7 linked regions of the Macaca mulatta genome follow. The protein of the gene in region 1 purifies or fractionates together with the protein of each later gene. This does not show direct contact. Links are inferred from orthologs where the notes say so. Each region holds a gene or a part of one and is shown in the gene's direction. Other genes may lie near its edges. The genes, in order: SNW1, TUBB, SF3B1, CCNT1, DDX23, BCAS2 and SNRPB2.

Region 1 (3,940 bases):
GGAGTGCAGTGGCGTGATCTCGGCTCACTGCAACCTCCATCTCCCGATTCACACGATTCTCCTGCCTCAGCCTCCCGAGTAGCCGGGACTACAGGAGCACACCACCACACCCAGATAATTTTTGTATTTTTAGTAGAGACAGAGTTTCACCATGTTGCCCAGGCTAGTGTGGAACCCCTGAGCTCAGACAATCCGACCGCCCCGGCTTCCCAAAGTGCTAGGATTACAGGTGTGAGCTACCGCGCCCGGCCAAGAGTTGATCTCAAAACAGGGAGATTATCCAGGTAAGCCTGATCTAATCACACGAGCCCTTTAAAAGCAGAGCATTTTTCTCCAACGGTGGCAGAAGAGGAGACAGAAAGATGTGCTTCAGCTGGCCCGGGAGCAAGCAAACATCCATGTTGTGAACTACCAATAAATAGGGTTCATGTGGGAAGGAGTTGAGAGTGATCCCTAGGAGCTGAGGGTGGCCACCACTAGCAGCACACAACAAAACAGGGAAGTCGATCCCACAACCGCCAGGAACTGATTTCTGCAAACAAGAATGAGTTAGAAGATGGATTTTTCTCCAGAGCCTCCTATGAGATTTCAGCCTTGTCATACCCTGGGCAGGGAACCCAGACGCTCGGTAAATTACCAAGGATTACAAAATATCTCCCCAGGAGATTGTTTTGGGTGGTAGGAGGATACGGTTTAAAGAAAAGTTTTGAGTATGAATGTTTTCAGAGTCCAAGAACTCTCCATTAGCCAGTCTCACTATTACCTATCGTTTTAAACTCCCTATCACCCTTTCACTTACAGAGCTGTCCCGGGGAAGCTTTTGTATTTTGTACCCTTTCTGGGGGAATGGGGCTGAGTAAGGAACGTAATAAAGCGGCCTAAACAGCATCTCCCTCTATCTTTGATATTTTGCCTAGGGAACGCCCTATCATGTCGCATATAAGCGATCGAGTTATGTATTTGTTGCTAGCTGAAGAGATTATTCCTTGATAACCGCTTGGTCCGGTCAGAATAGAAACGAATGGTACTCCCGTTCAAAGAACTACAAATCCCAGAAGGCCTTTCGGCCAGAGCGCCTGCGCATCGCGCGCTCCTTCCTTTCCGCTCCTCATCATCTGGAAAGACCCGCCCCGCGGTGCTGTCGCTCGCGCTGGAAGAAGCGGAAGAAGATGGCGCTCACCAGGTGGGTTGTTGATTGGGGTCCTCGATACGGAAGGGTCTGGGAGTACCAATCTTTTTCATTTCTCTTCCCATACTCTTGGGGCGGTGACCTGACCCGGGGCACAGAATGACGTGGGCCAAAACTACGGCTACGTCCTCCCGCTGGCCGCCGCTACGACTAGGCCTAGTCGAAGCTGGGGTCTTTCCGCGGTTTCCCGGGTTTAGTTCACCCCTCACCGAGGCCGAAAGCCGCGGCGTGGCCTCAGACACTGAAGACTGCATTTTTCGCTTAAGCATCTTGCGGGGAGCGAATAACGCTCCCTCAGGTCCGCGGCTCGGGCGAACAAGAAGGGGTTGGGGACGGTAGTGGCTTATTTGGGCGGAGTGAAGCGCACGGGCTGCGACTGCGCGGCTTTCCGGCCGTTTGCCTGTGTCCCGAAACAAGGATTCCTGAAAAAAGGGACCCGGAGCTGAACAGAGATTTAAATGAGCCACACTAGTGGCAGCTGTCTGCTGATATGCGCCACTGCTCCGCACTTTAACTTTGGAGCTTAGAATTTCTTCCGTAGATAGAACCACCTCAGAGTTTTGCTGTTTTCGGTTACCTTAGTAACTGTCTGTAAAGTGCTCCTTGCCTTTAAGAAAAAGATGCTTTCCAGTGGGAGAGTCCGAGAAGTTACGCTACCCCTGCTAGTCCCCAACGTTGCTGCCCCACCTTAAGTGGGAAAACTTTACATGCGAACTGAACAGGAAAAGTCTAGTGTTCAGGAAGGTTGTAGAGAAAGTAGTCCTTTTAGGACATCAACTTGAGCCCTCTTAACACCCTTCATTCTCCTCACGCATGTTTTTTTGTTTTTTTCTGGCTGATGACAGTATGAATCCAAAAAATTACTTTGGGAATTACTGTTGGTGCTTTGCTCTGTCCTGGGGATTGTGTACACAGAAGAAAATCTGTCTTTGGCAACAGGGAAGATGGGGTACAAGGTATACAGACATAAAACAATCACAGAACACAAAATGCACATTTGTGTTATACTAACCTTAGTGCAAAAAGAATTAGATGGAATAAGTTGTGTGGGCTGGAGAGTTTTCTTTCCCCTCTCCTTTCTAAAAATTTTTTTGCCTTTTTTTTTAAAAAACTATTTTTTTGAGATGGAGTCTTGCTATGTTGGCCAGGTTGGTCTTTAACTCTTGGCCTCAAGCAGTCCTCCTGTTTCGGCCTCCAAAAGTGCCAGGCGTGAGCCACCATGCCCGGCATCTGAATTTTTTTTTAATAAAAAGCTAGAAATGGGGTGTCACTGCGTTGGCCAGGGTGGTCTTCAACTCCTGGCCTCCATCAGTCTTCTCACCTAGGCTTCCCAAACTGCTGGGATTGCAGGCATGAGCTACCATGCCCAGCCAAGAGTTTTTTCTTTAGTAAATGTTACAGGCAGCAAACATTTGAGTACCCTCCAGGTGTGAGACACTGTGTCATAGACTAGTAAAGTTATGAGGGGAGACTTCGTGGAAAAGGTGGAATTTGAAATGGACACACAGGAAAAATTTCTAGAAATGTGATGGGTATTTTTTTATTTTATTTTTTGATGCAGGGTCTCACTCTTGCCCAGGCTGGAGTGCAGTGACCCAATCACAGCCCACTGCATCTTCAACCTCCCAAGGCTCAGGTGATCCTCCTGCCTCAGAGTAGCTGGGACTATAGACGCTTGCCTTGATGCCCAGTTAATTTTTGGTTTTTTAGTAGAGGTGGGGTTTTGCCATGTTGCCCAGCCTGTTCTTGAACTGGGCTTAAGTGATCCACCCATCTCAGCCACCACATCGTGTGGCCTGTCATGGGTATTGTGTGCTTAAAATTGCAGTGGCAGAATGCAGTATTCAAATGACCAGTCTTGGGGACTCCAGAGCTTTCCATACCTACCATCTGGGGTTCCTCAGTATTCTTTGTAACATCCTTTAAACCAGTAAACGCATTTCCCTGAGTTCTGTGAGCTACCCTAGCAAATTAGTTGAACCTGAGGATGAGGTCATGGGAACCCTGGTTTGTAGTCAGTTGGCCGGTGACCTGGACCTACTATTGGCATCTGAAGTAAGGGCAGTCTTGAGGGACTGAGCCCTCGACCTGTGACATCTGACACTATCTCCAGGTAGATAACATCAAAAATGAATTGAATTAGAGGACACTTGACTGGTGTCCAGTAAACAATTGATAGCTTGCTTGATACGTGGGGAAAAACCATCATGTATCTGGTATCAGAAGTGTTGTGTGTTGTTGATTGTTGAGTGAAATAATAGGAGAAACTGAATTTGTTTTAATTTTATACTCTATCCACATGGAGCTTACATTCTACTGGGATAGAAAGACTATGAGTAAAATCATAATGCAATTTCAGGTAATACACGCTAGGAATAAAAGAGGGTTAGAGAGTGACTCAAAGTTTGGGGTGAAGTGGCTATTTTGGGTAAGATGGTCAGAAAACAGCTCTAGAGAGAGGTAACTGAGCAGAGACATGAGTGCTAAGATGCAAGCTGTTGAAAGATCTGGGGCTACTCTAGGCATACTGCCTATGGGATAGCCCTGCTCCTCAAGGAGCAGTCACAGAAGAAGACATCTGGAGAAGAGTTTTCTATAAAAGCATACGAAAATTTGTTCTGTGTTTTCGTTTTTGTTTTTTTGGTTATGTTTTGTTTTGTTTTGTTTTGTTTTGTTTTTTGAGGCAGAGTCTCACTCTCACCCAGGCTGGAGTGCAGTGGAGCAATCTCAGCTCACTGCAAACTCCACCTC
Region 2 (4,152 bases), on another chromosome or scaffold:
CCTGTCTGTACCAAAAATACAATATATATATATATATAGATAGATATAGATATATATATATAGATATATAGATCTGTGTGTAATCGAATGTGAATGAACAATGATGTTGACTTGATACTACATTTCTGAGTGGCCAGACTGCAACATCCTGGAGGACAGGGAACTAATTATTAATCATTTTGTAACCATAGTTCCTAATTTGGTGGATACATAGTAACTATCAAATAAGTGAATAAATCTCTGGGAAGAAGCTGGTGGACTCTGTCTTGAGCCCATCCAATTTTCCCCCATCAATTTCCCCTCTCTCCTTTTTCAATACTGGGTATCTTGCAGAGTTGCAATGGCGGCCACCTGGTCAGTGAAATAAGCGAATTGAAAAACCACTGACTTCATTAACATGTCTAAAAAGGTAGGCTGAAAAAACTGAAAATCTATCAGGCATCTCATTCCATAGTTCCCTGTTTGACAAGAAGATCAAGGTGTCTTCAAAGTCTGCCCTAAGGCCCAGATCTCCTACGTGGATGGAGACTTCTAGTTTCACAAATCCCCGATGTCGGTTTCTCTAAACTATTTTATTCTTTGAACATACTCTCCAGACAACATCTCTATCCTGAAAAGCCCTTGCTGCAATTTTGTTTCTCTTTCAAAACAATGACTCGAAAATTTCCAAGGAAATAGCAAGAGGGCGATTCCCTTCTTGAAGTATTTGAGAGAGCAGAAGCTTACTTAAGTTCATGACTTGGGTCACCAAAGGCCAGAGGTAGCAGAGCACGGTGCCACACTCCTCCCCATTTTTCGCTGAGCTAAGCAATTCTGTCTTCCCTAGAGGTACTGCAGCTGGGAGCTTTTAGGGCGTACCTCACCACCCAACTTCTGGAACCCCAGACTTCTCAATCCCTGCATCCCCGAGAACTGCTCACTTTTTGTACAAAAACCTCAGGCACAGAGGAAAGGAATCTTGCGCAAGGTCGTTTTTCATTTACAAAACAAAAACCCAACAAAAACCAAACCGGTACCCACCCATTCGTCACTTCATTTTGCACCGTGAACAACAATAGGGGACTACAACTCCCAAAGAGGACTGCGCTCGTCCACTGGCTCAGAGGCCAATGGACGCCTGGTACATGACCGGCATCGACTAATCAGGGCCAGGCTCGATGAGGCTTTGTCTCCCGACCGCGCGCGGGGCCGATTCTCCCGCCTCCCAGCCCCGGCGCACGCGCGCCCCGCCCAGCCTGCCTTCCCTCCGCGCCCTCCCCTCTCCTTTCTCCCTCTCAGAACCTTCCTGCCGCCGCGTTCGCACCTCGCTGCTCCAGCGTCTGGGGCGCGTTCCAACCTTCCAGCCTGCGACCTGCAGAGAAAAAAAATTACTTATTTTCTTGCCCCATACATACCTTGAGGCGAGCAAAAAAAATTAATTTTAACCATGAGGGAAATCGTGCACATCCAGGCCGGTCAGTGTGGCAACCAGATCGGTGCCAAGGTAAGAATTTTACACCTCTTTTATTTCTTTTTAGAAGGAAAAATCCAGGTAAGTTATGAAAAAATGGTTGTGGGGCATTTGCACTCTCCATTCTTAATCAAGCTTTGCCCCTCCCAAGTTTGTTACATTTATATATATAATAACTAGCATTTGCTTTTGGAAAACTGGGAATCATTTTTCTTGGCAGGCACATTTTGGAGAAACTAGTAAAAGGGCTCTTCGGGTTTCGGGGGCGGGAAGACCAAGGACATATGTTACTTAAAAGGGCTTCTAACGGTCCAAGAACCGGGCAGGGAGAGAGATGCGGAAACAGTCGGAGACAAAGCGGGGCGAGGTTTTGCCCATGTGCATCCCGCCCAGCCCCCCCTGCGGGGTTCTTAGGGCCAAACGGGAGCGGGAAGGGGTGAGGCTGTCGGGCGGCTGCAGAGAGCTCCAGTGCAAAGGTCGGGGGGCGATGCGCCAGGGTGGGCTGCGCTGGGCGCTACCATTCACAAAAGATCAGGGACCCCAGCGCGCCCGCGACCCCGGAGGGCCGGTCCTGTAGTTGTTCCGGGGTGGAAGGAGAATAAGAACGGGATTAATTTTTCTTGCTTTCATGGCACCTAAGCGAGACCTCTTTAGGGCGTGAACTGATATGTCGAGAAAATGGGGGTGTGTGGTTTTCTTTAACGAGTCCTTCAGGACTTAATGGGAGAGAAAGAATGCTTTAAATCAAGGGGGAGAAATCTAGCAAAGGAATAAAATTCCGAGGCCAAGGGTTTTTTTTTTTTTTTTTTTTGCGCGCGGTTACAGTGTAGCGGGGGAGGGGCGGGAGGAAGTGCGGGTGCTACGTTGTAGCAGAAGGGCGGGGCCCTGCGGGGCGGGGCCAGGGCGCCGCTGGCGCGCGGGGACAATGCGGCGTTGCCCGCCGGGAGGGGCGCGCTACCCTGGGCCCCGCCCCTCGCGCGGAATTCTTGCCCCTGGCCCCGCCCACGTGCGAAGTCCTTTGTCGGCGGCTCGACCTGCGCGTGCGCCGCAGTCACGTGGAGGGTGGGGGGTGGTCGACTGCGGCAGCAGCTCTTCTAGTGCCCCGAGCCTTTTGTGCGCCGCGCGGTGGGGCGGTGCCCAGCTCGGGGGAAGAACAGCGGCGCTTATCCAAGTATGGTCGACCTCCATCCGCCCACCGAGCACTTGGGACCCGCTGCACATAATCCCGAGCCGGGAAAGCTGTGGCTTTCCCGGGGGAGCGAGTGTCTAGGGGAAGGGTGTGGCAGGCACACGGGATGCCAGGCCCTAGAACAACGGCCTGAGCGCGTGTGGGATTAAAATGGGAGATGTGGGGCTGAGGCGGGCTAATTGGGATCGCTCCCGCTCAGGGGTTTGAGACCATCCTGGGCAACAAAGCGAGACCCCTCCCCCCGGCCACATCTCTTCAAAAAAAAAAAAAAAAAAATTAACTGGGTGTGGTGGCGCGCGTCTGTGGTCCCAGCTATTCGAGAGGCTGAGATGGGAGGATCGGTTGAGCCTGGGAGTTTCAGGCTGTAGTGATCCGTGATTGCACCACTGCACTGCAGGCTGGGCAACAGAGGAAGACCCTGTCTTAAAAATTAAAAGAAGCTGGGCGCGGTGGCTCACGCCTGTAATCCCAGCACTTTAGGAGGCCGAGGTGGGCGGATCAAGAGATCTAGACCATCCTGGTCAACATGGTGAAACCCGTCTCTACTAAAAATACAAAAAATTAGCTGGGCGTGGTGGCGCGCGCCTGTAGTCCCAGCTACTCCGGAGGCTGAGGCAGGAGAATCGCTTGAACCCGGGAAGCAGAGGTTGCAGTGAGCCGAGATAGCGCCATTGCACTCCAGCCTGGCGACAGAGCGAGACTCCGTCTCAAAAAAAAAAAAGAAAAAAGTTAAGAAAAAGATGAAATAAAATGGTAGTTGGGGACGTAGTTGACTGGGACTTGACTTGTGGTCTCGTTGCTCCTGCCCGGCAGTTCTGGGAGGTGATCAGTGATGAACATGGCATCGACCCCACCGGCACCTACCACGGGGACAGCGACCTGCAGCTGGACCGCATCTCCGTGTACTACAATGAAGCCACAGGTAAGGGCAAGAGCCCGGGCAGCTCAGGTTCCCCTTCCCTGTCTCCCACTTCTCTGGGGTCTCTTTCCATTCCTGGCACGCCTTATCCCCTTTCGGTGAATCTATCATTTTCTCCCTTTTGTGAACCACCGTCGGGGCCAAAGACGTCTGCTGCCACCTGGTGGCAGGACCTGGAACAAGTCTTGGGTCCCTGCTGTCTTCCATTCCCAGTGTATCTATAAACCTTTCCCTCTGCCAGATCTCACAGCTCTTAACTTTATTCTTTGTAGGTGGCAAATATGTTCCTCGTGCCATCCTGGTGGATCTAGAACCTGGGACCATGGACTCTGTTCGCTCAGGTCCTTTTGGCCAGATCTTTAGACCAGACAACTTTGTATTTGGTAAGTTATACAGATGATATTAGCAGATGATATACTATCGTGTTCAACTTATTTGGGTGCAAGGACACAGCAAAAGTTAGGAGATGATTGTTGTACTGGAGTGCTAAGAACTGTATTCTGAAATCTAATGGAGGGTAGAGGTAGGGTAGAGGTAGTGCCTGCTGTTGCTGGTACATTATGGGGCAGTGGGGGGAGAATACATCACAGTGAA
Region 3 (3,500 bases), on another chromosome or scaffold:
TATTTAAATGTCAGTGCACAAATACATTTCAGAACCAAACAAAACTTTTTTGTTATTGAGTATCCATCATTCTTTAAATCACTTCACTGATTTCTTTCATTTCTATACATAATCAAAAATTGTTAATAAAAGTTAAAAACGATTCTGAGTCTGGTCAGAATCCGCGGCTTTCTCTTTCCATAGGCAGCTGTAAGTTTATATTTATGCATAGTCATATATAACGTTGCTAAGTAAAAGGAAAGTGAACAAAAGTTGCAATTCAGATGTTGATAGTTTATTGACTTCTATTAAATAGGTATGCATAAGATGACTCCACCAATTAAAGATCTGCTGCCTAGACTCACCCCCATCTTAAAGAACAGACATGAAAAAGTACAAGAGAATTGTATTGATCTTGTTGGGCGTATTGCTGACAGGTAAGCAGATTACCCACACATTTTTATAAGCAGTATCAATTTTCAAATTTGGCCACTTTGTATTCAATTAGCAAAATTTTCTTAATGTCACTAATATAAGTGTATATGATTAGGCTGTCTAGTATTAATATTTTCAGTCAAATTTCAATTTGGATGGTAATGGGGTGGCCATGTAATTTTAGGACTAAACCTGTAAGACTAACTCTTCAGCCTTTCTGAAGAGGAATAACTCTTATTTAATGCTTAAAATGAGTTAACAATCATGTTTTTAGAACTGAATTTGCAAATTTATCCTTAAAACTTTTCCTAATGTCACAAATAATATGTGTATTTTTTAAATTAGGGGAGCTGAATATGTGTCTGCAAGAGAGTGGATGAGGATTTGCTTTGAGCTTTTAGAGCTCTTAAAAGCCCACAAAAAGGCTATTCGTAGAGCCACAGTCAACACATTTGGTTATATTGCAAAGGCCATTGGGTGAGTGTCACTTACTTCCATTAAAAAAAAAAATTATAATAAATTCGTTGTGGTGTTGAAAAATACTTCATGTAGAAATCTCTTTTGAGGCATGGTCTGAATAATGCAGTTGAGAAAGCTCTTCATTTAACCATTGACCTTCTGATTTTTGGAATGTATTCTTAAATTCAATTTGTGTGTTTGTTTTTTTTTTGAGACGGAGTCTTGCTCTGTCACCCAGGCTGGAATGCAGTGATTTGATTTCAGCTCACTGCACCCACCACCACCTCCCGGGTTCAGGAGATTCTCCTGCCTCACCCTCCCCAGTAGCTGGGACTATAGGCATGCGCCATCACGCCCAGGTAATTTTTGTATTTTTTAGTACAGATGAGGTTTCACCATGTGGGCCAGGCTGTTCTCGAACTCCTGACCTCAAGTGAGCCACCTATCTTGGCCTCCAGAAGTGCTGAGATTACAGGCATGAGCCACCACACCCAGCCTGTAGTCTTAAATTCTTAATTGAATTAAAATAGATGGAAGGGTTTAAGATTTACTTTAATTATACTTTAGGTGTTTTCAGGGAGGGAAACAGTACCATTTTCAGAAAAATACAAAATGTGTACTGGTCTTTTAGGATATTGCTTAAACTATTAAGGCAAATTTTTAGTCTCACAGCATCATTTAAGTCTCATATTAATGCTTTATGTGTTTTAAAAGTTGTATTATGGATTGTTTGAGCTCAGGAGTTTAAGGTTACAGTGAGCTGTGATTGTGCCAGTGTACGAGACCCTGTCTCTAAAAAAAAACAACAAAAATGCTATTCTAACATTACTCCACGGATTTAACTGAATTATAGCTGCTTTGTGAGATAATCTATGGTTGTTTGCTTCCATTCCATCACAACTAAAGTAGGAAAAAAGTCATTATAGAAAACGAGACACGGCCGGGCGCGGTGGCTCAAGCCTGTAATCCCAGCACTTTGGGAGGCCGAGATGGGCGGATCACGAGGTCAGGAGATCGAGACCATCCTGGCTAACACGGTGAAACCCCGTCTCTACTAAGAAATACAAAAAATAGCCGGGCAAGGTGGCAGCGCCTGTAGTCCCAGCTACTCGGGAGGCTGAGGCCGGAGAATGACGTGAACCCGGGAGGCGGAGCTTGCAGTGAGCTGAGATCCGGCCACTGCACTCCAGCCTGGGCTACAGAGCGAGACTCCGTCTCAAAAAAAAAAAAAGAAAAGAAAACGAGACACCACATGTCCATGTGGCTTAAGAAAATGTGTTCAAGGAATATGACATGTGAACGTCTGATTAATTAGGTAGAATTAACCAGACCACACCCCCTCCCCTAACACACACTAATTTCTCTCCTATTTTGGTAGCATAATATTTATTTCAGTGGTGATGGAGTCAAGAAATTTGTAGTGAATAGCTGTCATGCAAGCTTTTAGCCCCAATGTCCCTCTAAGTTTATGTCAAAGAAGAGGCAAATAGATGCAGCAAATTGTGTGGGAGGGAAGATAAAAGAAAAGAGATTTTATGGCCGGGCGTGGTGGCTCACGCCTGTAATCCCAGCACTTTGGGAGGCCGAGGTGGGCGGATCACAAGGTCAGGAGATCGAGACCATGGTGAAACCCCGTCTCTACTAAAAATAGAAAAAATTAGCCGGGCGCAGGGGCGGGCGCCTGTAGTCCCAGCTACTCGGGAGGCTGAGGCAGGAGAATGGCGTGAACCCGGGAGGCGGAGCTTGCAGTGAGCCGAGATTGTGCCACTGCACTCCAGCCTGGGCGACAGAGCGAGACTCCGTCTCAAAAAAAAAAAAAGAAAGAAAAGAGATTTTATATGGTTTATAATGGGAGACCACAATTCAGATATTCCCCTCACCACTCCTACCTAGTTCTAGTGCCCATTTTGACAACTCAGAATTACTCACTTTAAACATTTAGTTAAATTTCTTTATATTTCAGAAAGTTTAAAAACTGAAAATTACATATGAAAATTAATTTGAGTTAACTTACTTTTTTTTTTTTTTGAGAAGGAGTGTCACTCTGTCACGCAGGCTGGAGTGCAATGGCATTGTCTCAGCTCACTGCAACCTCTGCCTCCCAGGTTCAAGTGGTTCTCCCACCTCAGCCTCCCAAGTAGCTGGGACTACAGGTGTGTGCCACCACACTCGGCTAATTTTTGTGTCTTTAGTAGAGACGGGGTTTCACTATGTTGGCCAGGTTGGTCTCGAACTCCTGACCTCGTGATCCGCCTGCCTCGGCCTCCCAGAGTGTTGGGATTGCAAGCGTGAGCCACTGCATCCGGCCAAAATTTTTAAAATTTGTACAGCTGTGACCTCTGATCTTCTCAGAGTTAACTTTTTAAAACTGACCTTTTAATTTATATGAAATTTTAATGTAGAAACAATGCCAGTGACTTGGAAGTATTGCGTTTTATAAAATTACTGAGTTCCCTGTAATTATTAATATTTAAAAGTTTTCATCTTTATGCATTTTTTCTTCCATAAATTTTTGACTTATAATGTAACAGCTTGTTGACCCATTTTTTTTTTCAGCCCTCATGATGTATTGGCTACACTTCTAAACAACCTCAAAGTTCAAGAAAGGCAGAACAGAGTTTGTACCA
Region 4 (4,197 bases), on another chromosome or scaffold:
TCACTGCAACCTTCGCCTCCCGGGTTCAAATCATTCTCCTGCCTCAGCCTCCCGAGTAGCTGGGATTACAGGCGTGCGCCACCACACTTGGCTAATTTTTGTATTTTCAGTAGAGACGAGGTTTCACCATGTTGGCCAGGCTGGTCTCCAACTCCGGACTTCAGGTGATCCGCCCGCCTTGGCCTCCCAAACTGCTGGGATTACAGGCGTGAGCCACCGCGCCGGCAAAGGAGCTGGGAAATATCTTGACAGAGGGCAGGAATTTGCTAATCTCTGCAAGTGAGGGGTAGTGGTGGAGGCTGTTCACACTCAAGGGGCAGTATTAGTTCACCCATTAGCAAACGTACTTAAAAATTACCTCTTGAGAGTTCCGCTGAATAAATGAAACAGTATATTTAAGTCAGTATTGTGCATGGGACATGTAAGCTCTTAATGTTATTAATTTCATTTTATTCCTTTAAGTTGGATCACTGCGGCGAAACGTGAGAATGTTTTCATGAGTTTGGCTACACATTAAAGCGACCTCTCCAAATGGGTTGTCGTATTTTACATTGCTACCAACAACGTAACAGCCTTCTAGTTGCTTTATGTTCCCATATACGAAAGAGCCCCACCATTTGATTCTGTTTTTCAGTTTCTGACAGCCTCACCTACTTTCTCTTTCAAGTTCATCTGCCCCATTTTTATTTTATTTATTTTTTAGACGGAGTCTCTCGCTTTGTCACCCAGGCTGGAGGCTGGGGTGCAGTGGCGCGATCTCGGCTCACTGCGACCTCCGTCTCCCGGGTTCAAGCGATTCTCCTGCCTCAGCTTCCCGAGTAGCTGGGACTACAGGCGCACGCCACCACGCCCGGCTAATTTTGTATTTTTAGTAGAGACCGGGGTTTCGCCATATTGACCAGGCTGGTCTCGAACTCCTGACCTCGTGATCCGCCTGCTTCGGGCTCCCAAAGTGCTGAGATTACCGACGTGAACCACCGCGCGCGGTCCATCTGCCCCATTTTATATCACCACTGCAGTCACAAACTAAGTTCTCCTAAGAACCACCAAGCGGCGCGTGGGCGGGCGCCTCATACCACTACAATTGCGACCTCACAACCTAACCCCGGGCGCCAACGCTCAATCCGGTTCTCGCGGGAAGATTCATGGTTTTTAAGCGAGAACTTCTAAGCCCACGCCACCTCCCAAGGGTCACGTGACGCGCCTGCGTCCTCGCCTCAAGGTTTTTTTCTCGTCGCATATTGGCTGTTAACTCGGCTACGGGGTGTCGCGAGGTGCATTCCGGAAGTAGGTCCTTTGACTTTTGCTTTCTTTACGGAAGAGAGTCACAACCCGGCGGTCGACGCTTAGCGGAAGTTCGTCAAGTCGCAGTTGCCCCCGCACAGCGGATGTGGGTCGCCTCTTAGGTGACGCTGGGAAGTGTTTGCAGCCTCCGCCGCTGCCTTCTGGTTGAAGCATTATGGAGGGAGACAGGAAGAACAACAACAAACGGTGGTATTTCACTCGAGAACAGCTGGAAAATAGCCCATCCCGTCGATTTGGTGTGGACCCAGATAAAGAACTTTCTTATCGCCAGCAGGCGGCCAATCTGCTCCAGGACATGGGGCAGCGTCTTAACGTGTATCCTTGCGGCCTAGGCCTTCGGCCTTTGAGTTGGTCCCGCCATGCTCTGGCGTCTAGGTCTCAGGCTCTGGTGGGGGACGAAAGTGGGGAAGAAGGTGGGCAGAAGCTGGATGTCTAGTTGGGAGAGCCCACGATGGGGCGGGCTGAAACTCAGTTCGCGCTAGGGAAGCGAGGCGGAGTTGATTTCCCGCTCGCTCACCCGTGCCACCAACCTTGCTGGGCATTCGTATCCTTCCCGGCTTCGTGTTTTAACCAGCCCTTCCAACTCTCTCTTCGTTGTGTTCTGATCGGCTCTGGTGACGTTAAGTTTCTCATTTTCCGCTGTGCCCTAGGGGTTTGGGTCTGGCAGAGGTTTCTCTGTTGAGGGCTGCTTCCGAAACCTAGTGTGTAAATTTCGAGAAATTCAGTACCTGAAAGTCTTATAAAGGGTGGTCTAGAATTAATGCCTCAGCCTTGGTCCAAAATCCATTCCTCATCTGCTAGCTGTTTAAGTGACCTGTCAAATTCTTGGTCGTCTTGTCTATAAAATGGGATGATACCTCTTGTGTTTGATTCTGTGTCCATCACAATGCTTTGCATTAAGATGCTCAATTAGTAGCTGCTGTTTTATAGAATTTCAGAGGAAAGATGTTAGTTTACGTTTGTAGGGGTTACCCACGAATCTAATGTTTTAAATCGTTTACAAAATACTGGGTCCTTAAGTTACTTAGAGTGGTGGTGTGTATTTCATTTTCTTTCTATTTCAAAAATGAGGTAACGGCCGGGTGCGGTGGCTCACACCTGTAATCTCTGCACTTCTGGGAGGCCGAGGCGGGTGGATCACCTGAGGTCAGGAGTTCGAGACCAGCCTGGCCAACATAATTAAACCCCTGTCTACTAAAAATACAAAAAATTACCCCGGCTTAGTGGCGGGCAGCTGTAATCCCAGCTAGTCAGGAGGCTGAGGCAGGAGAATCGCTTGAACCCGGGAGGTGGAGGTTGCAGTGAGCCGAGATCGCGCCACTACACTCCAGCTTGGGCAACAATAGTGAAACTCCGTCTCAGAAAAAAAAATTTTAAAAAAAATGAGGTATCCTCTCCCACATATTTTTGTTTGTCAGGAAATACACTTATTTTGTGGTGGAGAAAACTTGTATAGTTTTAAAGTTCTTTCCACTCTGTGTGTGAAAATTTTCTTGGGTGCAGCTTCTATTTAAATGTGTGGCTGACAGTAATGTTTGTATCTTAAGGGTGTGTGCATCTCAAAATGGGTGTCTTTTTTATCGCCAGTTTGTTTCCTGCTGATGTCCAGATGTGTTTCCTAAGCATCCTATCAGTACGGAGTAAATCTTTTTGTTCGAAATTCTATTTCAGTGTATCCTTAAAACGCTTTCCTTTTTGTATGTGTGTTGTCATTAAGGTTGTCAGCCAGGCGCGGTGGATCGCACCTGTAATACCAGCACTTTGGGAGGCCCAGGCGGGTCGATCACTTGAGGCCAGGAGTTCAAGACCAGCCTGGCCAAAATGGTGAAACCCCGTCCCTACTAAAAATACAAAAATTAGCCATGTTTGGTGGCGAGTGCCTATAATCTCAGCTACTGGGGAAGCTAAGGCAGGAGAATCGCTCGAATTTGGGAGGCAGAGGTTTCAGTGAGCCAAGATGGTACCAGTGCACTCCAGCCTGGGCGACAGAGCGAGACTCTGCCCCCTCAAAAAAAGGCTGTTGTAATTTGGGACTGCATCATCTCTCTACCCCATATTGTCTGCTGAAGTTTTTAGAAGTAAGGCATTTACAAGTTTTTTGTTCCTCTTCAGTTAATGAATTATCAGATCATTTCAGATGTTTCCTGTCCCGTGGATCACCACATGAGAAGGCTTGGTTGCCAGAGAGAAGTGGAACTGAAAATAATTTAGGCCGGGTGTGGTGGCTCATGCCTGTAATCCCAGCACTTTGGGAGACTGAGGCGGGTGGATCACTTGAGGTCAGGAGTTCGACACCAGCCTGGCCAACAAGGTGAAACCCCATCTCTACTAAAAATACAAAAATTAGCCAGGCGTGGTGGCCCAGCCGGTAGTCCCAGCTACTTGGGAGGCTGAGGCAGGAGAATTGCTTGATCCCAGGAGGTGAAGGTTTCAGCGAGCTGAGGTTGTGCCACTGCACTCAGCCTGGGTGACAGAACGAGACTCTGTCTGAAAAAAAAAAAAAGAAAGTAATTTAGTTGATGGAGTTTAGCAGGTGAGAGAGGTAGTGGAGACATACCTATGGGCCAGATCAGGGTGGGCGCTGTAAATCATATTAGATTATAGATATCTGCCACCATGCCTGGCTAATTTTTGTGTTTTTAGTCAAGGAGGGGTTTCGCCATGTTGCCCAAACTGGTCTCAAACTCCTGACCTCAGGTGATCCACCTGCCTCTGCCTCTACCCAAAGTCCTGGGATTACAGGTGTGAACCACCGTGCCCAGCCAGGCCTTATAAATTGGTTTTTTTTTTTTTTTTGGAGATGGAGTTTTGTTCTTGTTGCCCAGGCTGGAGTGCAATGGCGTGATCTTGGCTCTCCGCAACCTCCGCCTCCCATTTCAAGCGATTCTCCTG
Region 5 (3,500 bases), on another chromosome or scaffold:
CTGTCCAGGAGGAACTGTTTCATATTAGTAGTCTGCCCTTCCCTCCTACTGCCATAACAGCTGCTTCTTTTTTCTTTTCCTCTGTCTCAATCCCAGGTATAAAGAACGGCACCAGGTGCAGTTGTTAGGGCGAGGCTTCATTGCAGGCATTGACCTCAAGCAGCAGAAACGAGAGCAGTCACGTTTCTATGGAGACCTAATGGAGAAAAGGCGAACCCTGGAAGAAAAGGAGCAGGAGGAGTGAGTGATCAAGGCTAGGGTGGCTGGACAGAGCCCAGAGACTCTACAGAAAGGAGTTGGAGGGCACTGATTCTACTTACTCCTCACATCCTGCTCCAGGGCAAGACTCCGTAAACTTCGTAAGAAGGAAGCCAAGCAGCGCTGGGATGATCGTCATTGGTCTCAGAAAAAGTTAGATGAGATGACGGACAGGGACTGGCGGATCTTCCGTGAGGACTACAGCATCACCACCAAAGGTGGCAAGATCCCCAATCCCATCCGATCCTGGAAAGACTCTTCTCTGCCCCCACACATCTTGGAAGTCATTGATAAGTGTGGCTATAAGGTAAGGAGGGGTAGATTGGCCCAAAAGATCTGAAATGTTCCTGCACTAGTTTGGGAATAGAGAACTTTGTTCCTTGACTATTTGGAGCCATCCCTGCTATTGGGTACCAATGTGACCTTTTCTGTCACTTTCTGGTAGAAGCGTCAGCTTTTAGTGATTATGTTTCTTCTTGGGGTCCCCATTTCTGTGCACTGTACTTGGCATCCTTCCATTGCACTAGCAGATATGCTTACTACTATCAGTGGTAGCCCAGGTTGTATAATTCTGCCTGTACCTATTACTCTTTCTCGGGGTCACTGCAGGAACCAACACCTATCCAGCGTCAGGCAATTCCCATTGGGCTACAGAATCGTGACATCATTGGTGTGGCTGAGACTGGCAGCGGCAAGACAGCAGCCTTCCTCATCCCACTGCTGGTCTGGATCACCACACTTCCCAAAATTGACAGGTGGGGTCAGCTGGCACCAGCTGGAGTGGGTTTGTCTGGGTAGGAAAGGTGAAAGTGGCAAAAGAATGTGTGTTTTTTGTTTCACGTCTATAATCGGAAGCTTGCTTCTTTATTCTTGGTTCGATATTAGGGAATAATTGGATCATGATATCAAAGAATTATATGTTGCTGGCAAAGACCTGGAGAACTTTGCTATCCTGGAGTCTCTGATTTTTATTTTTTTATTTTATTATATTTATTTTTTTGAGACAGAGTCTCACTCTGTCACCCAGGCTGGAGTGCAGTGGCACGATCTCGGCTCACTGCAACTTCTGCCTCCCAGGTTCAGGTGATTTTCCTGCCTCATCCTCCTGAGTAGCTGGGAATTACAGGCATGTGCCACCACACCCAGCTAACTTTTGTTTTTTTGTTTTGTTTTGTTTTTTTGAGATGGAGTTTTGCTCTTGTTGCCCAGGCTGGAGTGCAGTGGCGCAGTCTCGGCTCACTGCAACCTCCTCCTCCCAGGTTCAAGTGATTCTCCTCCCTCAGCCTCCTGAGTAGCTGGAATTATAGGCACCCGTCACCACGCCCGGCTAATTTTTTTGTATTTTTAGTAGAGACGGGGTCTACATGTTGTTCAGGCTGGTCTCTTAACTCCTGACCTCAGGTGATCCGCCTGCCTCAGCCTCCCAAAGTGTTGGGATTACGGGCATGAGCCACTGCGCCCGTCCTTAATTTTTGTATTTTTAGTAGAGATGAGGTTTCACCATGTTGGCCAGGTTGGTCTCAAACTCCTGATTTCAAGTGATCTGCCTGCCTTGGCCTCCCAAAGTGCTGGGATTACAGGCGTGAACCACTGCACCTGGCCGAATCTCTGATTTTTATTTATTTATTTATTTATTATTTATTTATTTTTGTTTTTTTGAGATGGAGTCACGCTTTGTTGACCAGGCTGGAGTGCAGTGGTGTGATCTTGGCTTACTGCAACCGTTGCCTCCCAGGCGCAGATCCTCCCACCTCAGCCTCCCAAGTAGCTGGGATTACAGGTGTGTTCCAACATGCCCAGCTAATTTTTGTATTTTTTGTAGAAACAGAGTTTTACCATGTTGCCTAGGCTGGTCTCAAACTCCTGGGCTCAAGTGATTCACCCACCTCAGCCTCCCAAAGTGCTGGGATTATAGGCTTGTACCATTTTGCCTGGCCTCTGGACTTACTTTTTTTTTTTTTTTTTTTTTTTTTTTTTTGAGACAGAGTGTCTCTGTCAGGCTGGAGTACAGTGGCACGATCTCAGCTCACTGCAACCTCCATCTCCTGGGTTCAAGCAATTCTCCTGCCTCAGCCTCCCGAGTAGCTGGTATTACAGGCGCCGGCCACCACCCCTGGCTAATTTTTGTATTTTTATTAGAGGCAGAGTTTCACCATGTTGGCCAGGGTGGTCTCAAACTCCTGACCTCAGGTGATCCGCCTGCCTCAGCCTCCCACAGTTCTGGGATTACAGGTGTGAGCCATAGCGCCCAGCCCTGGCCTCTGATTTTTGAGTGAGATCATTTCATTCTTTTCTCATCATCCTCCCCATTCCCATCGCTTCCCCTAAGAGTGACTTTGTCTTGCTCTGGCTTGTGGTTGGATAAGAACCAAAGCTCACGAAGCTGTGGGATGCCCCATTTACCACAGAATCGAAGAGTCAGACCAAGGCCCTTATGCCATCATCCTGGCTCCCACCCGTGAGTTGGCTCAACAGATTGAGGAAGAGACCATCAAGTTTGGGAAGCCGCTAGGTATCCGCACTGTGGCTGTCATTGGTGGCATCTCCAGAGAAGACCAAGGCTTCAGGCTGCGCATGGGTTGTGAGGTTTGTTTTTCTATCTAGCAGCCAGCCTGCTGTCTGGGAAGGCTATCTTGGGGCTTTGTTTCTAGTTTCTGGAATAGATGTGCAGTAGAATGAAGAAAGGAGCTGGTTTATATGTATGTGCTATTTATTGAGAACTTATGCACCAAAGTTTATATTACAAATAGTATATATCATATATATTAGCTCATTAATTCTCACAATAATGTGTGAGAGTAGGTAGTGATATTTCCTTGTTATAGATCAGGCTGAGGTTCAGGTTAATAACTGCCTGAAGTCACAAACAGCTGGCAATGGGCAGAGCTGAGATTCTTATCCATAGCCTGTGCTTTTAGTTACTCTTTACTCTGCCAGACCAAATCTTTGACTTTGTGCATTGCGTTCATCTCAGGAAAGTGGAGGAGAGCTTTTTATGAGAAATCTGCTGTAGAAATTTAGAGTTTTTACTTTTTTTTTTTTTTAATTTAGTCTTTATACAACCCCCTTCATGGTATCCCTTAGTCTCTCCCATCTAAGAAAGTTGCTTCTTCAGGATCTGAAATGATTTGCCAAAAAAAAAAAAAGTTTCTACTGATTTTGCCTCCTCTGTCTAATCCCTGCATCTTACTCAGAGACCTCATTCGTTCCTGAGAAAATCCAGGCAACAAGTGATTTCATGC
Region 6 (2,505 bases), on another chromosome or scaffold:
TGCTAAAGGATTCTGGTCTTAGAATACCCTGTTTTTAGTCTAGTATTTTTGGCCTTGAATAGAATTCTACCTTTATTCTCCTTTTAAATGGAAAAAAAAAATAGCCAGCTACAGTGGCACATGCCTGTAGTCCCAGCTACTGTGGAGGCTGAGGCAGGAGGATTGCTTAGCCTGGGAGGTTGAAGCTGCAGTGAGCCATAATCGCACCAATGCACTCCAGCCTGGGCAACAGAGTGAGACCTCGTCTTAAAAAAAAAAAGGAAAAAAATTAATTTTATAAAATATTGTAGGCAGGGAGATTTCATACTTTTCTTGATAATTTGTTTGTACCTCAGGTTTATACATTTTAAAAAATGTTCTTTTACATACACACGTATGCCTTTATACAGTATCTTGAATATTTGTGTCATTTCTCTCTTCTTTTTTGCTTTCCCATTCCCTTTGTCCCTTCATTACTCAAGTTATTCTCCTTGTTCTACCATCTCCATGTACGTGTTATCAGTCTCTTTGGTACCCTTTCATGTTTTTTCCTCAATTTAATAAACTGTTGCCTCTTTCCTTTTTGTTGATTAAATTAGATACTGTCTTCATCACTCTTTCCTATTTCTTCTGGTTTACAAGTTCTCTCATCTGTTTCTAATTTGCTTTTTTATTAGTTGAACTTTTGAGATAATTGTAGATTCACATGCAGTTGTAAGAAATAATACAGAGAGCCAGGTGTGGTGACTCACATTGTAATCCTAGTGCCTTGGTAGGCCAAGGTAGGAGGATTGCTTGAAGCCAGGAGTTCAAGATGAGCCTGGGCAACATAACAAGACCCTGTCTCTACAAAAAAAAATGTTTTTAAATGAACCCAGGCATGATGGCATGCACCTGTAGTCTTAGCTCCTCGGGAGGCTAAGGTGGAAGGATTGCTTGAGCTCAGGAGTTCCAGGCTGCAGTGAGCTGTGATCACACCACTGCATTCCAGCCTAGTCAACAGAGCAAGACCCTATCTCTGGGAAAAAAAAAAAAAAAAGAAAGAAAGAAAGAATACAGATTCCATGTACCCTTTACCTACTTTTCCACAATTGTGCCTTGATTTTTTTTTAATGGAGAGTTGAAAGTAAAGTTTAGGCTGGGTGCAGTGGCTCACCTGAGATCAGGAGTTTGAGACCAGCCTGGCCAACATGGTGAAAACCCCATCTCTGCTAAACATACAAAAACATGAGCCAGCCGTGGTGGCAGGTGCCTGTAATCCAGCTGCTTGGGAGGCTGAGGCGAGAGAATCGCTTGCACCCGGGAGCCAGAGGTTGCAGTGAGCCAAGGTTGTGCCATTGTATTCCCGTCTGGGCAACAAGAGCGAGACTCTGTCTCAAAAAAAAAAAAAAAAGTGAAAGTTAGTGTTATAGCTCTGAGTGAACATGTGTATACATTTAAAATAAAATCTTCTAAGAGAAATTTTACATTGAGTAATTTTTTTCCTTTTTCCCCCCCATTCTAGTTGGGTATCCCTGGTCAGTAAGAATTATGAGATTGAACGGACTATTGTTCAGCTAGAAAATGAAATCTATCAAATTAAGCAGCAACATGGAGAGGCAAACAAAGAAAACATCCGGCAAGACTTCTGAAAAGACAGTTTAGCAGGTAGAAGAAAAGGTGGGCTTTCACAAAAGGCATCTGAACTTTTAATGAACTGTGAAGGACGACAGCATCTTCGCAAAACCATTGATGTTTAAATGTTTAGAAATCATAGAATGTGTGGGCTGCTGTAGTAATTCTATTTGTATATCTCAACAGAATTAAAATGTCTAGCTTGGTGGTATTTTTGTAACCATAAAAGAAAACCTTTAGGCTTTCAAAGTCAGTTATGACTTTAGAATAATACTGTGTCATAGAATTAATTTTCAGCCATGCGGACCATAGTTTGTATCCAAGGATCCTTATTTAAAGCCTTCAACATGTACAGGAAGTTGGAAATTTTTGGTTTATGACTTTGTCTAATAAAGAGATAGTTCGAAACACATTCTTGATTACCAAACAAGACTTCAGAAATACAGTGACTATACAGAGTCATCATTATCACCATCATCATCATAGGTAACAGTTATATCAAGCTTAATATGTGCCGAACACTGTTCTGAACACCTTAGATCGGTGAACTAGATGTATAGGAATAAAAATTATTTGGTTCTCACAAAAACCTCAGGAGGCAGTTACTGTTTTTCTCATATGTGGACATGTAACAGACCCCAGTTAAATAACAAAACTTGCCAAGGTTTTATAGCTGAAAATGTCAGCTTTTTTATAGAAAATGTCAGTCAGGTTTTGAACCCAATAGTCCAGCTCCAGAGTTAATGTTCTTACTTCTCTACTTGTAAGGAATTAAAATGTATAAAAGATTCGTGCCCAATTCAGAAAAAATATTTGCAACATATCAAAAGGTAGTCTTGCTAGGTGTGGTGGCTCACGTCTATAATCCCAGTGCTTTGAGAGACTGAGGTAGGAGGATCACTTGTGTCCAGG
Region 7 (4,279 bases), on another chromosome or scaffold:
TTTATTTATTTATTTATTTCAGAGATGAGATCTCACTGTGTTGCCCAGGATGATTTCAAACTCCTGGCCTCAACCAGTCCTATCTCAGCCTCCGCAAATGCTGGGATTACAGGTGTGAGCTACTACACTCAGCCATTTCTTGTAGTATTAGATCTATATAATAAAAGGATGTTTTTCTGTGATCCCTTAACATTTTCTACACTCATCTGCATGTTCAAAGCATATTTGTTTACTGTTGCCTAGTTTTCCATGTCAGTCATTCATTTATCCAATACATATTAATTATCAGTCACTATTCTCATTACTAAGGGTACTTGAGTGAACAGAGCAGACAAAATCCCCACCCTTAAGAAGCTTATATTATTTTCAAGTTGTTGCAACTTTAGGTGTTTTTTAAAAAATAAAAATTCCCAGCTGATAAAACTAACTTATTTGACAGCTACCTGCCTCACCAATATAACCAAGTTATAGCCAGAACTCAGAAATAACATTTTTGAGCCTCACCAATATAACCAAGTTATAGCCAGAATTCAGAAATAACATTTTTGAGCATTTATTTTGTGTCTGGTAATGTGCCAACCACTTTACATTTATTTTAGCTCATTTAATGCCTACAACAACTAGAAGGAGATACTATTAGGATCCCTATTTTACAGACGAAAAGAGTGAAGATCAGAGAGATTAGTTAAGCAGAGGGTACAAGATTAGGTTCCACTTGACTCTTAACAACCATTTCATATTCCAGGTGATGCTTTACAGACATCTGATGAATGGATGAATGAATGAAAGCATGGGAATTTTTTTGGGAATTCCCATTCAGCTTGGCATAAATACTAACTCGTTAGACTACCCTAGAAAAATCTAGACTTTTTGTGGGAAGAAAAGAGTGGGAAGGGTGGTAGGGAATTATTTTTTCGAGTGAGTTGAGGCAGATGATCTTACAGATGATTGGGTTCTACTCAGCATGGTTGCCTTATCTGGTGAGAGATGAGAATTGGGCAGACACCAGTTCTGTTTGCCCTGGGCCCTCAAACTGGGTAGCCTCTGAGATTCAAGTTCATCAGCAGAGTGTTGGAGGACAGTTCCTGCAGAGCCCCAGGAATCAGAGGAGACTTGGAGGCCGGAGGAACCGGCTATCCTAAAGGTGATTTTAAACCGGGGCAGCCAGAGCCCAAAGAAGGGCGAAACCAGGACTAACTGCCCCGTAGCATGAGAGGCAGAGCCTGTAAAATTACATAGGATTTGTAAAGGTGGAAGGCACTCTTGCGCGGGGCAAAGCTTCGCAAGGTCGTGGTAAGGGAAATGATTCACTCTTCTTCCCTATTCCCTCGCAGCATTGTCCCCACAAACCCCGTCCCTTTCCCCATTTCCATTTCCGGACTCTTCTCCTGCCCGCAGGGCATACGCACGCGCAAAGAGATTACCTACGGGCCGCCAGAGACCAGGAAGCATCGATCTGCTCTGCGCTCGGCTTGTAGACTTGTGGGCGCTCGATTGAGGAGCGTGGCAACGTTACTTCCGGTGCCTGGCTCCGTTTCCTGCTTTTGGTTCTTACGGGAGACTGCGTAGGCCTTAGGTGGGTTCGTGCACCTTTTACCTCGCTGTTTCGGTTTTCCTGGCTCCTCGGCCCTTCTCTCCCCTGTTGCAGCTGGGAGCGGACGAAGCGCGAAGCTGGGGTGGGGACGCGTTTGGCCCGGATTTGGATCTCGGAGTACCCGAGTAGGCTGGGGGCGAGGAAGAGATGGGAGACTGACTCAGGGGCCGGGCATCGCGTGGCAGCTCCCTCGGACTTCGTTAGGGGGCCTCGGGCGAAGGTGCTTGTGTCTGGAGAGGCGGGAGGCTTGCGCTTACGAAGTAAAGGATAATGTCCGTCTGCTTGTGCGAGGCGCTGACAGTTCACTGCGCTTTCAGGTGTCTTCCAGCGGTTTCCTTTTGGTAGTGGCGGGTAATTCAGGGTGCCCCTGTAACAGTCCAGCCCACGATCAAACCTCGCATGAAACCCCGCAAGAGCCTCCCCTTTGTCCCCCTACCTTCAGTTTGACCTCTGCCTCAGTCACTTCCCTTTCGTCGTCTCCTTTGTGACCCTTGCCGCTTCTCCAGATTTCGATTTAGGGGGTCCCAAGGCTTGGAGAAGCGTTATGTTTTACCTGTTACCTGCACAAGTGCAGCCCCTGCTTGTAGGCTCTTCCCTTGTCAATCATCCAATGCTATTCACGTACAGTGGATGCTCCGTAAATATTTGTGAGATAAAGAAATATGTGGGGCACACAAGGAAATCAAGCAGCTTCACAGTTTGCAAGTAAAAACCACGTTAAAAAAATGCAATAGTGTGGTGGACGAGGAAGAGAAGTGTAGAGGAGAAAGCAAGGGCTGAATTTCCAGGCTTGATGCTTATTAGCTGTGTGACCTTAGGCACGTTCCTTAACTGGTAATAGCTGTTAATAATAGCTACTTTAAGTGCTTACCGTTGATGCAAAACTGTGCTAGAACTCATTTAGTCTTCTGAGTTCGGTTGGGTAGGTTCTGTTACCATTCTCATTTTACTGATGAGGACCTGACAGATTAAGGAACTTCCCTCAGGCAAACAGCTAATAAGAAGCATAAATAGGATTTGAATTCACATATGGTTGGTACTAGAATCTGAGTTTAACGGTCATGCCACACTGTTGTCATTGAGCTCCCTTCTTTCAAGTCGGTTAGAGGTAACCTTGGAGTCCAGACAGCTTGGTGATACTGTATACAAATTAAGTAATAGGTATGGAAGGACTTTGTAAGTGCACCCAAGAAGTAGTTGGCAAACTCCATTAATGTCTAACCTTATGATTTTCACTGGATGTACATTTGCTACTTGGTCATTTTTCTTCAAATCTACATTTTAAATTATTGAGGAGGTGGAAAGAAAATATCACTTGTCATAAGTGAAAAGTAAGTGTGAAAATAAATGTGTTGAATTAAATGATGTTACTAAAATCTGGCTAGGTATTGGTGCTCCAAGTTTTGAGCATGAGAAACTCTTCTCCTTTTGTATGAAAAGGAGGGCTAGTAGGTGCTGGAGGTACACTAAAGGCTTCAGCCAAACTGACATCATCTAACAATTGGGATTGAAAGAGAAGTGAAAGGTTAATAATTCGTGTGTTGTGTCCTTATGCCACAGTCCAGTATAATTTACTCCTTCCTTTTTATAACAGATTTTTTACTGTCTCCTTCTGAAGAATTTAACACAAACATGGATATCAGACCAAATCATACAATTTATATCAACAATATGAATGACAAAATTAAAAAGGAAGGTAAGTGCTTTTAAAAATACTTGTTCACTACTAAAATGTGTTTATTTACTACTGTCTTAAAAATTGTATTGCCTCAAAACCTCTTACCTCGTCGTCTTAGTGCCTGAAATAATGGTTTATTCCATTACCTATAGGGATTTGAAGACTTTTAAAAAACAAAAATAGGTAGGAATTGACAGTGTGTACAGTCTGTTTCTACTCATAGATATAATGGTTTCATCTGACTTATAAAATTACATATAGCCAATGGGAATAGTATATGTTTTTATAAACATTAAATATATATAACTATAAATAAGTGAATGGTGGGGAGGCAACTCAATGCAGTATCATTTTATGAAGACTTTTGTCATTATCTTATTACCAATGACTTGTTTCTTTTCTAATTTGGACAGAATTGAAGAGATCCCTGTATGCCCTGTTTTCTCAATTCGGTCATGTGGTGGACATTGTGGCTTTAAAGACCATGAAGATGAGGGGGCAGGCCTTTGTCATATTTAAGGAACTGGGCTCATCCACGAATGCTTTGAGACAGTTACAAGGATTTCCATTTTATGGTAAACCAATGGTAAGCCAATTCTATTATTTCACTTTAATCAAGAAATTAATGATATTGATGGTACAGTAGATTTGTAAATATGCTTGAAACTGTGGCTGTTGCTTTCTGCTTTTAATTACGTGTGTTTGGGTTTATGTGTTTTTATAGAAAAACAATAGCAGTAGAGTTTAATTTATGACGGTTAAGATGGCTGAAAACAAAATACATTGAGATGTAGAATATTTAAAAAAATAATGGCAGTCTAGGCAATAGTCTTATCTCAAAAAGTTAGAAATTAATAATAACCTGGAAGACTTGAAAAGAAACCTGTTTGTAAACTTGTAAAACATTACAAAAGTCAGAAGCTAAAGGGGAAATTCAGTCTGAAGTTTTAGAAAATGCTATAGTGAAATACTATATGTCAGAAGCTACACAGTCTAGATGAAACAGT

Evidence for each region.
Region 2: the proteins of SNW1 (region 1) and TUBB purify together in Homo sapiens (affinity purification with mass spectrometry; 3 studies listed by BioGRID and IntAct, with this or other methods). This does not show direct contact. The link is inferred for Macaca mulatta from reciprocal best matches to the Homo sapiens genes SNW1 and TUBB.
Region 3: the proteins of SNW1 (region 1) and SF3B1 purify together in Homo sapiens (co-immunoprecipitation; 3 studies listed by BioGRID and IntAct, with this or other methods). This does not show direct contact. The link is inferred for Macaca mulatta from reciprocal best matches to the Homo sapiens genes SNW1 and SF3B1.
Region 4: the proteins of SNW1 (region 1) and CCNT1 purify together in Homo sapiens (affinity purification with western blotting; 3 studies listed by BioGRID and IntAct, with this or other methods). This does not show direct contact. The link is inferred for Macaca mulatta from reciprocal best matches to the Homo sapiens genes SNW1 and CCNT1.
Region 5: the proteins of SNW1 (region 1) and DDX23 purify together in Homo sapiens (affinity purification with mass spectrometry; 3 studies listed by BioGRID and IntAct, with this or other methods). This does not show direct contact. The link is inferred for Macaca mulatta from reciprocal best matches to the Homo sapiens genes SNW1 and DDX23.
Region 6: the proteins of SNW1 (region 1) and BCAS2 purify together in Homo sapiens (co-immunoprecipitation; 3 studies listed by BioGRID and IntAct, with this or other methods). This does not show direct contact. The link is inferred for Macaca mulatta from reciprocal best matches to the Homo sapiens genes SNW1 and BCAS2.
Region 7: the proteins of SNW1 (region 1) and SNRPB2 purify together in Homo sapiens (affinity purification with mass spectrometry; 3 studies listed by BioGRID and IntAct, with this or other methods). This does not show direct contact. The link is inferred for Macaca mulatta from reciprocal best matches to the Homo sapiens genes SNW1 and SNRPB2.

The regions. Positions count from the first base shown.
Region 1 is NC_133412.1:150,979,795-150,983,734, reverse strand, and holds the start of SNW1 (SNW domain-containing protein 1), read left to right. Parts: upstream 1-1,140; 5' UTR 1,141-1,169; coding exon 1,170-1,183; intron 1,184-3,940. UniProt on the Homo sapiens protein: Involved in pre-mRNA splicing as component of the spliceosome. As a component of the minor spliceosome, involved in the splicing of U12-type introns in pre-mRNAs.
Region 2 is NC_133409.1:152,322,544-152,326,695, reverse strand, and holds the start of TUBB (tubulin beta chain), read left to right. Parts: upstream 1-1,352; 5' UTR 1,353-1,426; coding exon 1,427-1,483; intron 1,484-2,525; exon of another isoform or gene 2,526-2,809; intron 2,810-3,452; coding exon 3,453-3,561; intron 3,562-3,830; coding exon 3,831-3,941; intron 3,942-4,152. UniProt on the Homo sapiens protein: Tubulin is the major constituent of microtubules, a cylinder consisting of laterally associated linear protofilaments composed of alpha- and beta-tubulin heterodimers.
Region 3 is NC_133417.1:102,334,263-102,337,762, reverse strand, and holds part of SF3B1 (splicing factor 3B subunit 1), read left to right. Parts: intron 1-295; coding exon 296-416; intron 417-759; coding exon 760-891; intron 892-3,429; coding exon 3,430-3,500. UniProt on the Homo sapiens protein: Component of the 17S U2 SnRNP complex of the spliceosome, a large ribonucleoprotein complex that removes introns from transcribed pre-mRNAs.
Region 4 is NC_133416.1:55,880,503-55,884,699, reverse strand, and holds the start of CCNT1 (cyclin-T1), read left to right. Parts: upstream 1-1,397; 5' UTR 1,398-1,459; coding exon 1,460-1,620; exon of another isoform or gene 1,621-1,849; intron 1,850-4,197. UniProt on the Homo sapiens protein: Regulatory subunit of the cyclin-dependent kinase pair (CDK9/cyclin-T1) complex, also called positive transcription elongation factor B (P-TEFb), which facilitates the transition from abortive to productive elongation by phosphorylating the CTD (C-terminal domain) of the large subunit of RNA polymerase II (RNA Pol II).
Region 5 is NC_133416.1:55,994,109-55,997,608, reverse strand, and holds part of DDX23 (probable ATP-dependent RNA helicase DDX23), read left to right. Parts: intron 1-96; coding exon 97-240; intron 241-339; coding exon 340-565; intron 566-867; coding exon 868-1,013; intron 1,014-2,666; coding exon 2,667-2,844; intron 2,845-3,500. UniProt on the Homo sapiens protein: Involved in pre-mRNA splicing and its phosphorylated form (by SRPK2) is required for spliceosomal B complex formation.
Region 6 is NC_133406.1:125,685,034-125,687,538, forward strand, and holds the end of BCAS2 (pre-mRNA-splicing factor SPF27), read left to right. Parts: intron 1-1,483; coding exon 1,484-1,610; 3' UTR 1,611-2,005; downstream 2,006-2,505. UniProt on the Homo sapiens protein: Required for pre-mRNA splicing as component of the activated spliceosome. Component of the PRP19-CDC5L complex that forms an integral part of the spliceosome and is required for activating pre-mRNA splicing.
Region 7 is NC_133415.1:67,266,391-67,270,669, reverse strand, and holds the start of SNRPB2 (U2 small nuclear ribonucleoprotein B''), read left to right. Parts: upstream 1-1,479; 5' UTR 1,480-1,576; exon of another isoform or gene 1,577-1,911; intron 1,912-3,188; 5' UTR 3,189-3,226; coding exon 3,227-3,290; intron 3,291-3,685; coding exon 3,686-3,858; intron 3,859-4,279. UniProt on the Homo sapiens protein: Involved in pre-mRNA splicing as component of the spliceosome. Associated with sn-RNP U2, where it contributes to the binding of stem loop IV of U2 snRNA.